Cricetulus griseus: one gene and its partner. The protein of the gene in region 2 purifies or fractionates together with the protein of the main gene of each other region. This does not show direct contact. Links are inferred from orthologs where the notes say so. Each region holds a gene or a part of one and is shown on either strand. Other genes may lie near its edges.

Region 1 (6,200 bases), on a different chromosome or scaffold from region 2:
TCACATCAGGCTTGGCAGTAAGCATCTTTACCCACTGGGGCATTTTGTTGGCCCCTAGTGTTAAACTTAATGCTGCTATCCACAGATTTTATATTTTGGGGAGAAGAGGAAGGGTGGCACAGGACCTATATGTAGAGGTCAGAAGTCAACTTACACGAGTTGGTTCTTCTTTCCACTAAGTGTGTACCAGGAGTCAAACTAAGACCCTCAAGCTTGGCAACAAGTGCCTTTACTGGCTTGGCCACATAGGCAGCTCCTCATCTTGTTAATGTGGCACTTTTCTTTTGTCACTGCTCTCCTGTTACCCCAGGTTCCATATCAACAAACTTTTTAAAGCACATATGACAAACAGCTGGGCAGAGGCCTTAATCCCAGTGTATTTCCCGAGGATCTGATGGGACAGGTATTCTGGCTCTCAGGAGTCACAAAATACTGAGTGTTACACAGCTCAGATTGAAAGGGATCCTGACACAAGTGTTACAGTGCAGCTCACTCTGCTCTGTCCAGGATTGTCTCTGCTCTGCAACAAAAGGTCTTCACCCAAAGCTCGTCCAAGGGGCTTATTTTTGTTTTTGTTTTTGTTTTTGCTTTTTGTTTTTGGAGACAGGGTTTCTCTGTGGCTTTGGAGGCCGTCCTGGAACTTGCTTTGTAGACTGGCCTCGAAACACCACCACCACCCAGCCCAAGGGGTTTATTTAGAGGGAAGAATCCAGGAAGAATCCAGGGTGGCAGAGGACAGCGGGACAGCCCAAACAGCCCCAACAGCCCCAAGCTGAACAGATACAGGGTTTATATAGGAATTCTTGGGGGGGGGGTGGAGATTTCCTAAGGGAGGTGGGGATTGGTCAGATTTCAATCCCTGAACTCAGATTGGCTAGATCTCCTGCTCAGGGATTGCTTAGTTTTCTGCACAGGCTTGTGGTCAGATTTGGCTCTGGTTTCAGGGCCAAAGTGTTTCTTTCACTGGTCTTTTTAGCCTTTTGGCTCTTGTTTTAGGACCAGGGTGTATTTCTTTCACGGGCTCTGATTCTAGGGACAAAGTGTGTTTCTTTCACAAGTTCTTTTAGCTTTTGGCTCTAGTTTTAGAACCAAGGTATATTTCTTTCACTGACTCTGATTCCAGGGCCAAAGTGTGTTTCTTTGGCACTTATTGCAGGGCCAAAGTGTGTTTCTCTGGCTGGCCCTTTTTCCCTACACCCAGCACTCAGAAGGCAGAGGCAGGCGCATCTCTGTGAGTTCGAGGCCAGCCTGGTCTACAGAGCAAGTTTCAGGACAGCCTCCAAAGCTACACAGAGAAACACTTTCTCGAAAAAAACAAAAACAAAAACCCAGAAGGGAAGGAAGTGCCACTGTAAAGCCTGGGAAAGTCACCTCACCTATAGCGTCAGCATACTCAGCCGCTGGTGTGGGGTGAAGGAGCCTGCATTTCCGGCGGGCACAGAACAAACACTGCCATTACACTGATCTGCCACTGTCCTACCAGCGCCTGCCCCCGCTACGGCCTCTGGGATGGCACGCCTCAGGGCCTCGCGTGGCGGGCTCACTGGGGCGAGCCCGGAGGCCTCGGCCGAAAAACCTCCACAAGGGAGTGAGCGCAGTGACTCATGCACTTCCCGCGCTTCGCCGCAGTGCCTAAATGCGACTGCGCGGGCTGCGAAGGCGGGAAAGCTGAGGCGTCCTCCGCGCGCGTGCGCCCTCTGCTGGAGCCAACCGTCTTCCAGCACGCATGCGCATTTTCACCAAGCCCGTCCGTCCCTCGCCGCCCCTAGCGCGCGGAATTGTTGGGGTCCCTCCCGTCAGGGGCGGGGAATGAGAAGGTGGGGCCAGGGCATAGCCACGCCCACCGCCGTTCATTTGAAGCCCCCCCACTCCGACTCTCCATCTCTAGCCAATCACAAATCTCGCTACCCCAAGGGCCAGCCAATGAGCGGCGCGGTGCGGCTGCTTCCGGCTCTGCGCCGGATTCGTCTCTTTGCCCTGAGCTCCCTGCGACGGGCGGGGCTCCGGAGGGCGGGCGTCGGCCTCGGTGACGCGCGGCGGGCCGAGGTCCAATAGGGGGCGGGATCTGAGATGATGGACGGGTCTAGCGGCCAGTGGCGAGGCGCCGGCCGGACTTCCCGTCGGGGAGAGAGTGTAATATGGCGAAGACCTACGATTACCTGTTCAAGCTGCTGCTGATCGGGGACTCGGGGGTGGGGAAGACCTGTGTCCTGTTCCGCTTCTCCGAGGACGCCTTCAACTCCACGTTCATCTCCACCATAGGTAGCGGCGCCTCGGGGCGGCCGGGGACCGGGGCTGGGCGCGCCCCTGTGGGGCTGGGCTGAGGGATCGGCTCGGTATCCACCCGGGCCGAGGATCCGGGAGGGTCGTGGGCCCTGACGGAGGACCGCAGCGGCCTCCGTCTCCTCGAGGGGACGCCGCGAACGAGGTGCAGACGGGAACACTCAGGCTGCTGTCTGAGGGAGAGGCTGCCCTGGGCTGGGGTCCTGGAGCCTGTCAACTCTCTGTCCTCACAGCAGCCCTCGAGACGGTAATTTTGGGAGAGATCCCCGTCTTACAGAAGTGGAAACTGAGGCATGGAAGTGACACCTGACCTCGTGCATCATTCCCTATGTGCCAGGTTCGGCCTGTGCACTATCAAATACTGTAGTGCTCTCGGGTTGGGTGTTGTGTCGCTGAAGGAGGAATTTGAAACTGAGGGAGGGTGTGGCACGCACTGAAGGTCAGTCTACAGGTGTCAGGGTTGAGATTTGAACCCATGTGTATCTGACTCCCAAATTCGAGGCCTAGCTGTCCCAGAGAGGTGCCGCCTTATACCCTCACAGGGCCAGCACCATCAATTAACCTTTAAGTCAGGACTCCAACCCAAAGTCCTGCTGCCCTCTGCCTGAGGAGTGGTGCTAGTACCTGTCACCCTGGTGGAGATGTGAGAAAAAAGTTCCTGTGAGAAACTAAGATCGGCCACGGCCACGTGCAGCCTTGACAGGACACCACCTGTCACTTCCTGAACAGCTTTCCCCCAGGGCTGCCTCACGGTGCAGTTGAACAGAATTGGCTTGTGATTGACAAAGTCCTGATGTCAAAAATGGCACAGACCTTGGACCTGGAAGTAACTCCTGTCAAACAGGGTGGTCTGCATGCTGTATGGCCCTGGAACAAGAGAATGGTGCCTAGGCCTGGTTTATCCCAGGCCAAGCTGTTGTTCAGTTGGTGCAGTCCTGGGGTCCATCCCCAGCATCCTGAAACCAGGTGTGCTGGTAAATAGCTGTAATGACAGCACTAGGTAGGTGGAGGCAGGTGGATCAGGAGTTCGGGTCATCCTTGGTTACATAGACTGTTCAAGGCCAGGTTGAGCTACATGAGTCCTGGCTCAGAAAGAAAAGGAAAACATAGGGAATGATTTCTGTGTAATGTCAACTAAGCTGTATTGTCTCCCTGACCGGACCATTGTGTGCTAATGTCATCGGAACTCTCCTTCCTGGTGGGCACTCTAAAACAGTCAGGTGTCAAGTACAGAAAATTATACCTGGACTCCAGGTGCTGTTCATCCTTGAACAGGCTCTGACCTTTCTTATGTGATTTGGTTTAGAGCAGATGTGGCACTGTCTGTCTTGGCTGGTGCCCGGGGTGGTTGAGGGTTAGCTCTATACAACGAGTGAAGAGGTCCATCTGGGGGAAGCGGAGGGTTTAGACACCCCTGGACACAGGTGCATCTGAAGCTTCTCCCCTCCCCCCCCCAAAACATCCAGCTTTGGAGTCACCCTTAGGTGAGGACCAAGCAGGAAATGACAATAGCTGCCCACAGGCTCTGGCTTGCTCTCAACACAGACCTCAGTTTCCCGGCCTCAGACACTTCCTAGTCACCAACGTATTAGTTCAGGGTGGTTTTCTGTTTGTTTGCTTGCTTGCTTTATTGTGTGTGTGTGTGTGTGTGTGTGTGTGTGTGCTCTTGCATACTCATGCATATATATGAGGGCTGGAGGCTAGAGGTTGACACCAGAGTGAACTGGTTGTCAACAACCAGATCAGTCACTCTCCTTGCTGCTGCTTTTTCTTTTTTCTTTTTTTTTAATTATTTTATTCGGAAGGTAGGTGCATGCTGGTGCACATGTGGGGGTCAGAGGACAATCTGTGGGAGTCTGTTCTTTCCTTCCACCATGTGGATCATTGGGACTGATCTCAGGCTGCCAGGCTTATGGGCAAGTACCTTTACCCACCAAGCCATCTTTGCTGAGTCTCTCACTGAACCTGGAGCTCACTGAACCTGGAGCTAGCCCTAGGACCCTTCTTTCTCTGTGTCACCAGTGCTGGGATTGTAAGTTGATACCACCATGCCCAGGTATTTTTATATGGGTTCGAGGGATCAAACATGTCCCTAGCCCTTGTTTGTTTGTTTGTTTGTTTGTTTGTTTGTTTGTTTGTTTGAAACAGGCTGGCCTAGAATTCACTGTGTAAACCATGCTGTCCTGGAACTCTTGGAAATCTGCCTGCCCCTGTTTCCCAAATGCTGGAATTACAGATATGAGCCATCCTGCTCCACTGGTTTTGTTACATTTATTTTGTGTGTGTGCATATATGCCAAAGTCAGGAGACAACTTGTGGGAGTTAGTTTTTTTCCTTTCACCAAGTGGGCCCCAGGAATTGAACTCACATCATCAGGCTTAGTGGCAAGCACCTTTACCTGATGAGGTTTCTTGTAGGCTCTTGTTTTACATCTCACGTGTGTTTCTCCAGTTTTTCTTTTTGAAGTACTGGATATGGAGCCCAGGTTAACCACATATCTGACCACTGATCATATCCATCTGGATGGTTTGAAACTCTTGATCAGAAAACCAACTTAGTCCTTCGGGGTCCCTGGGAGACAGCCCTCCTTTACAGTGAGGTAAAGGTAGCACTTGAACCAGGATCTCTCCCTCCCCAAATCAGCATCACATTCCCACAGACCTCTGTCTTCTGGGAAAGTTAATCTCCTTGACCTTTAAGTTACGGCCTCATAATTCTGGAGCCTCATAAAGTTTACAGTTCCTAATTCAATTCATATGTTAATAGAAGCTAGGGGAGCTCCAGACCAAAGTGAGTTATACAGTGACTCTGGACTTTTGTGTGTCACTGGGCATGTGTGACACACTGGGAAATGTCTCTGGGAGAGTCTGCCTTGGCTGCTTAGCCCTAAAATTGTGCAGGAAGGTGCATCTGTACTGGAAGCCAGCTGTTCTCGCTGTGTTCATTGATGGACCAGGACTGAGTGGCTTTTTGTTTTCTGGAAGCTGTGGCCCTGTGGTAGGCTGTTCTCCAGAGCTACATGAGTTATTTGTGGTGTGAACCTGGCCCTGCAGCACCCTGAAATCAGTTCTCAAACCAGTCTCAGAACCAGGCCACTCTCTCGGGGCCATTCATTGCTTCAGCAGACACTGTAGCTGTGTTATCTGACCATCTTTCTGTTATTTAAGATAGGGCCTCACGTAGCCCAGGCTGGCCTAAACTCCCTATGTAGCTGAGGATAACATTAAACTCCTAGCCTACCTGCCTCCATCTTCAGAGTTCTGGGATTGCTGGGATACATCAGCACACCCAGTTTTTTGGGTGCTGGAAGTAGAGCCCAGGATACTAAGTAAGCAGTCTACCAAGTGAGCTGCAGTCACAGCCTGTTATTTTTAAAATTTTGGCCACATTTATTTATTTGTGGGTGTTCCTGTCATAGTGCATATGTGGAGGTCAGAGGACAGCCTGGGAGTTAGTTTTCTCCATCCATCATGTTCGGTCCTGGGTCATCTCAGGCTATGTTGCAAGTGTCTTTACCCACTGAGTCATCTCACTAGCTGTGTGTGTGTGTGTCTGTGTGTGTGTGTGTGTGTGTGTCTGTGTCTGTGTCTGTGTCTGTGTCTGGTCTGTGTATGCGTATGAGAGAGAGAAAGAGAGGGAAGGAGACAGGGAGAGAGGGAGAGAGATGCCCAGGCTGCCCTAGGAGTCTTGGGCTTAATCGTTCCTCCTACCTTAGCCTTCCAAGTAGCCTCAAACTTAATTTGTAGCCAAGGCTGGCCTTGAACTCCTCACCTTCTTCCACCTCCAAATGCTGGGATGACAGGTGTGTACCGCCACCTCTGGTAGAACTTCGGTCTATGTGCAGGCTAGACAAAGGTTTCTGCCTACTGAACCACAACCCTGGCCCCACACCCATAATTTAAAAAGTTTTCAAATAA
Region 2 (6,212 bases):
AGACAAGGAGACAGGATGCCCACCTTCCTGCTGCCAGAGGGTCTTCAGGGGAAGGAGAAGTGAACTAGAGTGCTGGGGTGCTGGGACCTGCATCCCATCCCTGCCAAGACCTGACCTCAGAGCTCCTTAGAGGACAGCCCCTCTGTATCCTTAGTCCATCATACTTTTCCTCCCCTTCCATTTGTCACCCAACTTTACAGTGAAACATCCTTCACCCCCACCCCACCCACCACCTGGGCCAGAGCACAGCAGGACACAGGAGGGGAGCTTTTTTTAAAAAATTACATTTCTTTATTTGGAGGAGGAGACACATAAAACAGTGTGCATATGTGCAGGTAAAATGACAATTTGGGGGAGTCATCACTCTCCTTCCATCATGTGGATGAGTCCTGCAGAACCAAGACAGGTCATCAGGCTTGGCAGCAAGCCCCTTTACCCACTGAGCCATCTCGCCAGCCCACACTGGGAGATTTTAAGGCTTAGATTCAGATGGCAGACCCTCCTCCTGTACTCAGCCACATTTTAGAAGAGTGGTTAACGGCTGGGTGTTTGTGGCGCACGCCTTTAATCCCAGCACTCGGGAGGCAGAGGCAGGCAGATATCTGTGAGTTCGAGGCCAGCCTGGTCTACAAGAGCTAGTTCCAAGACAGCCTCCAAAGCCACAGAGAAACCCTGTCTCAAAAAAAAAAAAAAAAAAAAAAAAAGAGTGATTGACGCTGCGACCCTTTAATTGTTTCTCATGTTGTGGTGACTCCCAACCATAAAATTATTTTCGTTGCTACTTTAACTGTAATTTGCTACTGTTATGAATTGTAATGTAAATATCTGATATGCAGGATATCTGATATGTATGACCTGTGAAAGGGTCATTTGACCCACAAAGGGGTCGAGACCCACAGGTGGAGAAACACTGCTTTGGAGTTGCACCGGCTTCTGCAATTTCTGCCAAAATCCCCATTCCCTTCCCACCACTGCTATTACAGATGTCCACACCAAGGAATATGAGTCCTCTGATTCCCAAAGGCCAGGTATCCAGTGTCAATGTGTAGCAGGGTCATACTCACTCCAGGGAAGGGTCCTTCTTATCCCTCCCAGCTTCTGGGAGCTCCGGAGTGTCCCTTAGCTCATGTCTCCATTCCTGAACTCCCTAGTATGTCACTTCCAAACTCCAAATCCACAGAGGCTCCTCCCAAGCATCTACCACATCTACTGAGCTCCAGCAGCATGCCCTTATGTGTGGGACTCTAACTATATGGAGACAAGCCCACCGCCAGCTTTCACATAGCATTAACTAAGAGACTCACCATCATCTTGAGCTTCCAGTCCTGCTGGGACAGACAGCAAGGAAGTCAGCAATGTGCGAGATAACCCACCCAGGGTGGAACTCAGCAGGCGCCTCTTCCTCCAGCCTCCTTCCTGTCACAGCCTCTTGGTTCCCTGTCATCACCTTGAACTTCTGTCTCTGAGACCAGGAAGTTGCTCCCTGCACATTGGAGGCTGAAGTGATCTTATACAGTATACAGCAGGCACTCAGTAACTGTCAGTTAAACCAGCAAACATCTGACACTTGCTGGTGTTGACATATGTGTGTACACACAAGTACACACACAAGCACAAACCTCTGCATGCACACCTCTCCTCCTCTGTGGGCACTAGGTGTTGGGTCAGGAGCACACACATCCCCTGCCTCAGAGCAGACGAAAACCCTGTATCTGCAAAGGCCCTGTCCCTGTCTAGTTATCAACTGAAGCTGCTAGGCCAGCCAAAACCAACATCATCGTCTCCTCCTCTGAAAATCTGTCATAGTTCTCATCTAGGCTCCCTGCTCTGGACCATCATCCAGCCTTCCCCTGCACCACCCACAGAGACCTGGATACCCACATTCCCGTGTTCCAAGTCCACATCCCTGATCCAACATCCATCAAAGCTTTCCACTTGCCATGTAACTGATGGCCCAACTGAACTCACAACATCCACCTCCCTGAGAGTGACTGAGGCCGTGCCATGGGGCCTCTCCAAGCAGCTTGGGGCTGGGGGAGGGGGCGCATATTTCACAACCATAGGGCAGAATACTACTTCTTGCTCAAGATTCCCACTTCCTGAGCAGAGAAAAGCTTGGCACAAGGGAGCTGGATGGTATCAGGCCTGCCTCTGCCTGCTGTGCTGTGTGACCTGAACAAGAGTTTCTTGTTGTTTTTGATTTTGCTTTTTTTCCTTTTCTGAGCCTCATTTTACCAGTTCTCCACAAATGCTGCCTAGAGCCTCACTCAGCCTCAAGGCCTCCCTGAGAAACATTCCCAAACTGGCCACTCTGACTCTAGCTACCATGTCTCAGGACAAAGCTTTTCTCAAAAAAGCATGGGCTACAGGTGATCTTGTCCCATTCCAGGTCACTAGCCTAAGTTAGGTCCTGGTAACACACAGTCCACCAAGGTGTTAGCTGAGTGAATTACTGACAGATCAGCTGTGGACCAAGGTCCCTCAACAAAACGGAGCCAGCTTGCTTCCCAACTTCCTATGCCAAGACTCTTCTTTGGTAGAGGGCTTTAGACTCCATCCCCTGCTCACTCCTGCAACTTCCAGATATGGTGGCACAGTCTCCATTGTCACCCCCACCCCCGACCCCACCCCCAAAATCCTAAGGTGCTAAAAGGCTTGGGCTTCCCTCATTGATTGCTTTCTCAAAGACGCCTGGACAAGCAGGGGGAAAGGCAGTATTCCCACTAGAAGCCTCAAGTGATCCTGATTTAGGCTCCAAACCTCTAACAGCACAGGGTCTCAGAAGGCCCTCCAGGAGCTGCTCCTTTGCCCTTTCTCAGGGAGCCAGGGGAAGGCGGACGCTGCCCTGAGTCACCACTGACTAAGCCGGCTGGACAGCCCACGTCCTGGCCCCTGGCCCAGCTGCACTTGGTGGCCTGCACAGAGGCCACTTGACTGCAGCAGCCTTGGGGGCCACCGAATGGGCTATGCCTGCAGTACTCTCTCCTGCCCCGGGTGGCCCACCTGAGAGGGGTGTGTCTGCAAACTCTGACCCAGATTCTAGGGCAGGCGTGGCCTCAGTTTCCCGTTTGCAGCGGCACCTCAGAGCCGGACAGATGGGTGAAAGAGCACTCACATAAGGTCAGGCCGGTGTCGATGCAGGATAGCGCAGAAGGCCAGGCCATCGCGGAAAGAGGTGGTCATGTTGGTGATGCTCACGTCCCGGTAGCCCTCGCACTGCTGCCGGCACCACTCTTGTAGGGCCTTGATGGCCGCCATAGGGGCGGCGGGCCGAGCCGGTGGCTCGTGGAGCTGGCCACAGGCCCCTCTCGGGCCGTGATGGGGACGAGGCCCGGACCCGCCGACCACCACCCGAGTTGGAAGAAGAGCGCGCGACCGGCGCCCCACACTGAAGCCGCCTGCGAGGCCTTCGGCTCCGCCCCCTGGAGGCCCCGCCTATTCGGTCCGCCCCCTGTAGCCACGCCCCCTGGAGGCCACGCTCCCAGGCCCGAAGCTCCACACAGACGCCTCTGTTCTGGTTGCCCCGCCCCAACTTGCTCAGGCCACACCCGCGCCTCAGAAAAGACACGCCCATATAAGACCTCGCACCCTCCTTCCTGGGACTTGGAGAATAGAGGCGGGGTGCTCTGGGCGGCGGCTCCCGCCTTGGCTTTCAGCCATGACTCCCAACTGAGGTGCCGGGGGTTTTCTTTTTTGTTTTCCTTGAGACGGGGACCTCTGTAGCTCAGGCTGGCCTCTAGCTTATTATATAAGCAAGGGTGACCTTGCGCTTGTGCTGCCCCTACCTCCACCTCCTTTAGTGCTGGGATTACAGGCTATGTGAGCCACACCATGCCTGGTTTATACAGCGCTGGGGATGGAACCCAGGGCTTCCTACATGCCAGGCAAGCATACCACCAGCTGAGCTACTTCCCTGGCCACAGTTTTCTTTTTCTTTTTTTAATGTGTATGGGCTTTCGCCTTCACGTGCATCTGTGCCACTTGTGGGCCTGGTACCCCAAGAAGCCTGAAGAGGGCCCCTGCTCCTCTCGAACTGGAGTTAGAGCCAGTTGTGCTGCCCTGTGGGTCCTGGAAATTAAACCCCAGGTTCTCTGGAAGAGCAGCAAATGCTCTTAACCACTGACTGATCTCTCCAGCCTAAACCCACCACAATTTTATTGAAAAAAAAAAAAAAGATTAAGATAAAGAGTCCAAGTTGCCCAGGCTGGTCTAACTGTTGAATTTGAACTTGCCATCCTCCTGACTTAGTCTCTGGAGTTGCTGGGATGACAGTGCTGTACTGCCAGGCACTTCCCAGCACCCCAGTGCAATAGTGGAGGAAGGGGCCTGTTGACAAATGAGAAAACAGAGACTAGGGTAAATGCTACCTCGGAGGAGAATGAGGTGTGTGGGTGTGTGTTTCAGGGTGTACAAAGTTGTCCAGTGTTTGAGGCTGGGTGGCTTGATGGGTAGAGTCCTTGCCTCTCATATACTGTCCCTGTTCCAGCCTCAACACTGCCCACATAAACTGTGTGAGGTAGCACCCACCTGGAATCTCAGCAATCACTGGGTAGAGGCCGGAAGATCAGAAATTCAAGCTCATCCTCCGATACATATGGGGTTCAAGGTTGACTTGGGCTACATTAAAATGCTGCCTGGTTTCCCTTCGCCTTCAGGGTGCCAAGCCAGCCAGAATAACTCCTCTATGTTCACAAAGGACCCGAGGCTGTGGGGGGACTCTCCCAAGGCCTCTGTGGAAACAGGAGAGTCTTGGCCTCCTGTTTTTGTTTTTGTTTTGTTTTGTTTATTTATTTATTTTCTACTTCAAGCCTCTGTTGGATGACAGGGGTGATTAAGGGAAGTACCTCTCTCAGATCCTCAATTAACCAGGCAGCTGCCCTCTATGATTTTTCGTTTTTGTTGTTTGGTTGGTTTTTTGAGACAGGGTTTCTCTGTGTAGCCCTGGCTGTCCTGGAACTCACTCTGAGGACCAGGTTGGCCTCGAACTTACAGAGATCCACCTGCATCCAGAATGCTGGGATTATAGGCCTGTACCACAACCACCCAGCTATGGGTTTTTTCCTCAGGAACTGTATGTTGTCAGATGGATCAGACTATGACACCAACAATGAGGTGACACCTCCCATTTGAGCCCCAGGGCTTGTCTAGGCAGGACCTCTGGGAAGGTAGGGGTTTTCCCAAAAGTAGCATCTGATTTGGAGCCAGGTGGTTTCTCTACACCCTCCACAAGGGATGAAAACAGGTTTTCCATGCCCAAGCCATGGGCTGGCATCAAGAAAGAACCTGGGTACAGGCAGCAGGTGTGGGGCCTCTGTGAGTGGGCAGCGAGGTTCTTATCCCAGAGTACACAAGCCCGTGGGCTGGGATTATGGCCCCAACCCTTGCCCAGTCAAAGCAGCTGATCTGCCTGAGGATTCTCATCAAGGGGACAAAGTGCAGCATCACGCCCATTCAGTCAGAGCCTGGTCCCGGAACCAGGTTTTTCCCAGCCCTCGGGACAGCAGTTATAAGAACCGGAAAAGCTGGTAAGGAAGGCAACTGCCAAGAAGAAAGGGTGAGCAAAGAGAGGGAGGCCATGCCAGAGTCTGAGTTCTAAACACATCTCAAGGGTCACCATGTGACCAACCTCTGCACACTCCACACCCCAGCTCCTGCTGCCACAGTAGCTTGTGGACAGCACTTGTGATAGTCCCTTGAGGCCACCAATGATGTCACCACTAGTACCTCACAGAACCTGCCTCTCCAGAGTCCCCCAAGCCAGAACACCCCAGTCTGCCCACTATTACCAGCTTTCCACGTCTTGTCCCAACATGACACCAGCACCTTTGTCTACCTTGGAGCCCCCCCTTGAATGTTCCAGAAGCCCCTCATGCCAGCTGTCCTCTGAATAAAGTCCAGGAACCTTATCAGTTACTAGAACCTGCCAGCCCTGCTTATCATGCCTAGGCAGGCCACACCCTGCCTGTTCCCTTTGGGCCTTGGTTTCCCAGCTGACCATACAGAGCATTCTCCATGAGCCCACTGCACAGCTCCAGAGGACCACTGAGGTCTCTTGGATGCCCCTCTCTGCTCCTTCCTGCCTCCCCTTTGGCCCAAATTCTCCTGGTATAACTGGTACTTGCCTATCCTACTGGAAGCCTCTACCACCAGTGCAAATTCTGGTCCCAGTGGCTGTCCGAGAAAACTTTCTCTTCCCAGTCACCTCTGCCCTG

The links. Proteins that work in one complex are often made in the same cells at the same time.
Region 1: the proteins of Micall2 (region 2) and Rab8a purify together in Homo sapiens (co-immunoprecipitation; 3 studies listed by BioGRID and IntAct, with this or other methods). This does not show direct contact. The link is inferred for Cricetulus griseus from reciprocal best matches to the Homo sapiens genes MICALL2 and RAB8A.

Annotation. Positions count from the first base shown.
Region 1 is NW_023276806.1:246,923,351-246,929,550, forward strand, and holds the start of Rab8a (ras-related protein Rab-8A), read left to right. Parts: upstream 1-2,102; 5' UTR 2,103-2,138; coding exon 2,139-2,262; intron 2,263-6,200. UniProt on the Homo sapiens protein: The small GTPases Rab are key regulators of intracellular membrane trafficking, from the formation of transport vesicles to their fusion with membranes.
Region 2 is NC_048597.1:76,377,814-76,384,025, forward strand, and holds the start of Micall2 (MICAL-like protein 2), read right to left. Parts: upstream 3,417-6,212; 5' UTR 3,259-3,416; coding exon 3,116-3,258; intron 3,023-3,115; exon of another isoform or gene 3,004-3,022; intron 1,484-3,003; exon of another isoform or gene 1,311-1,483; coding exon of another isoform or gene 1,305-1,310; intron 1-1,304. UniProt on the Homo sapiens protein: Effector of small Rab GTPases which is involved in junctional complexes assembly through the regulation of cell adhesion molecules transport to the plasma membrane and actin cytoskeleton reorganization.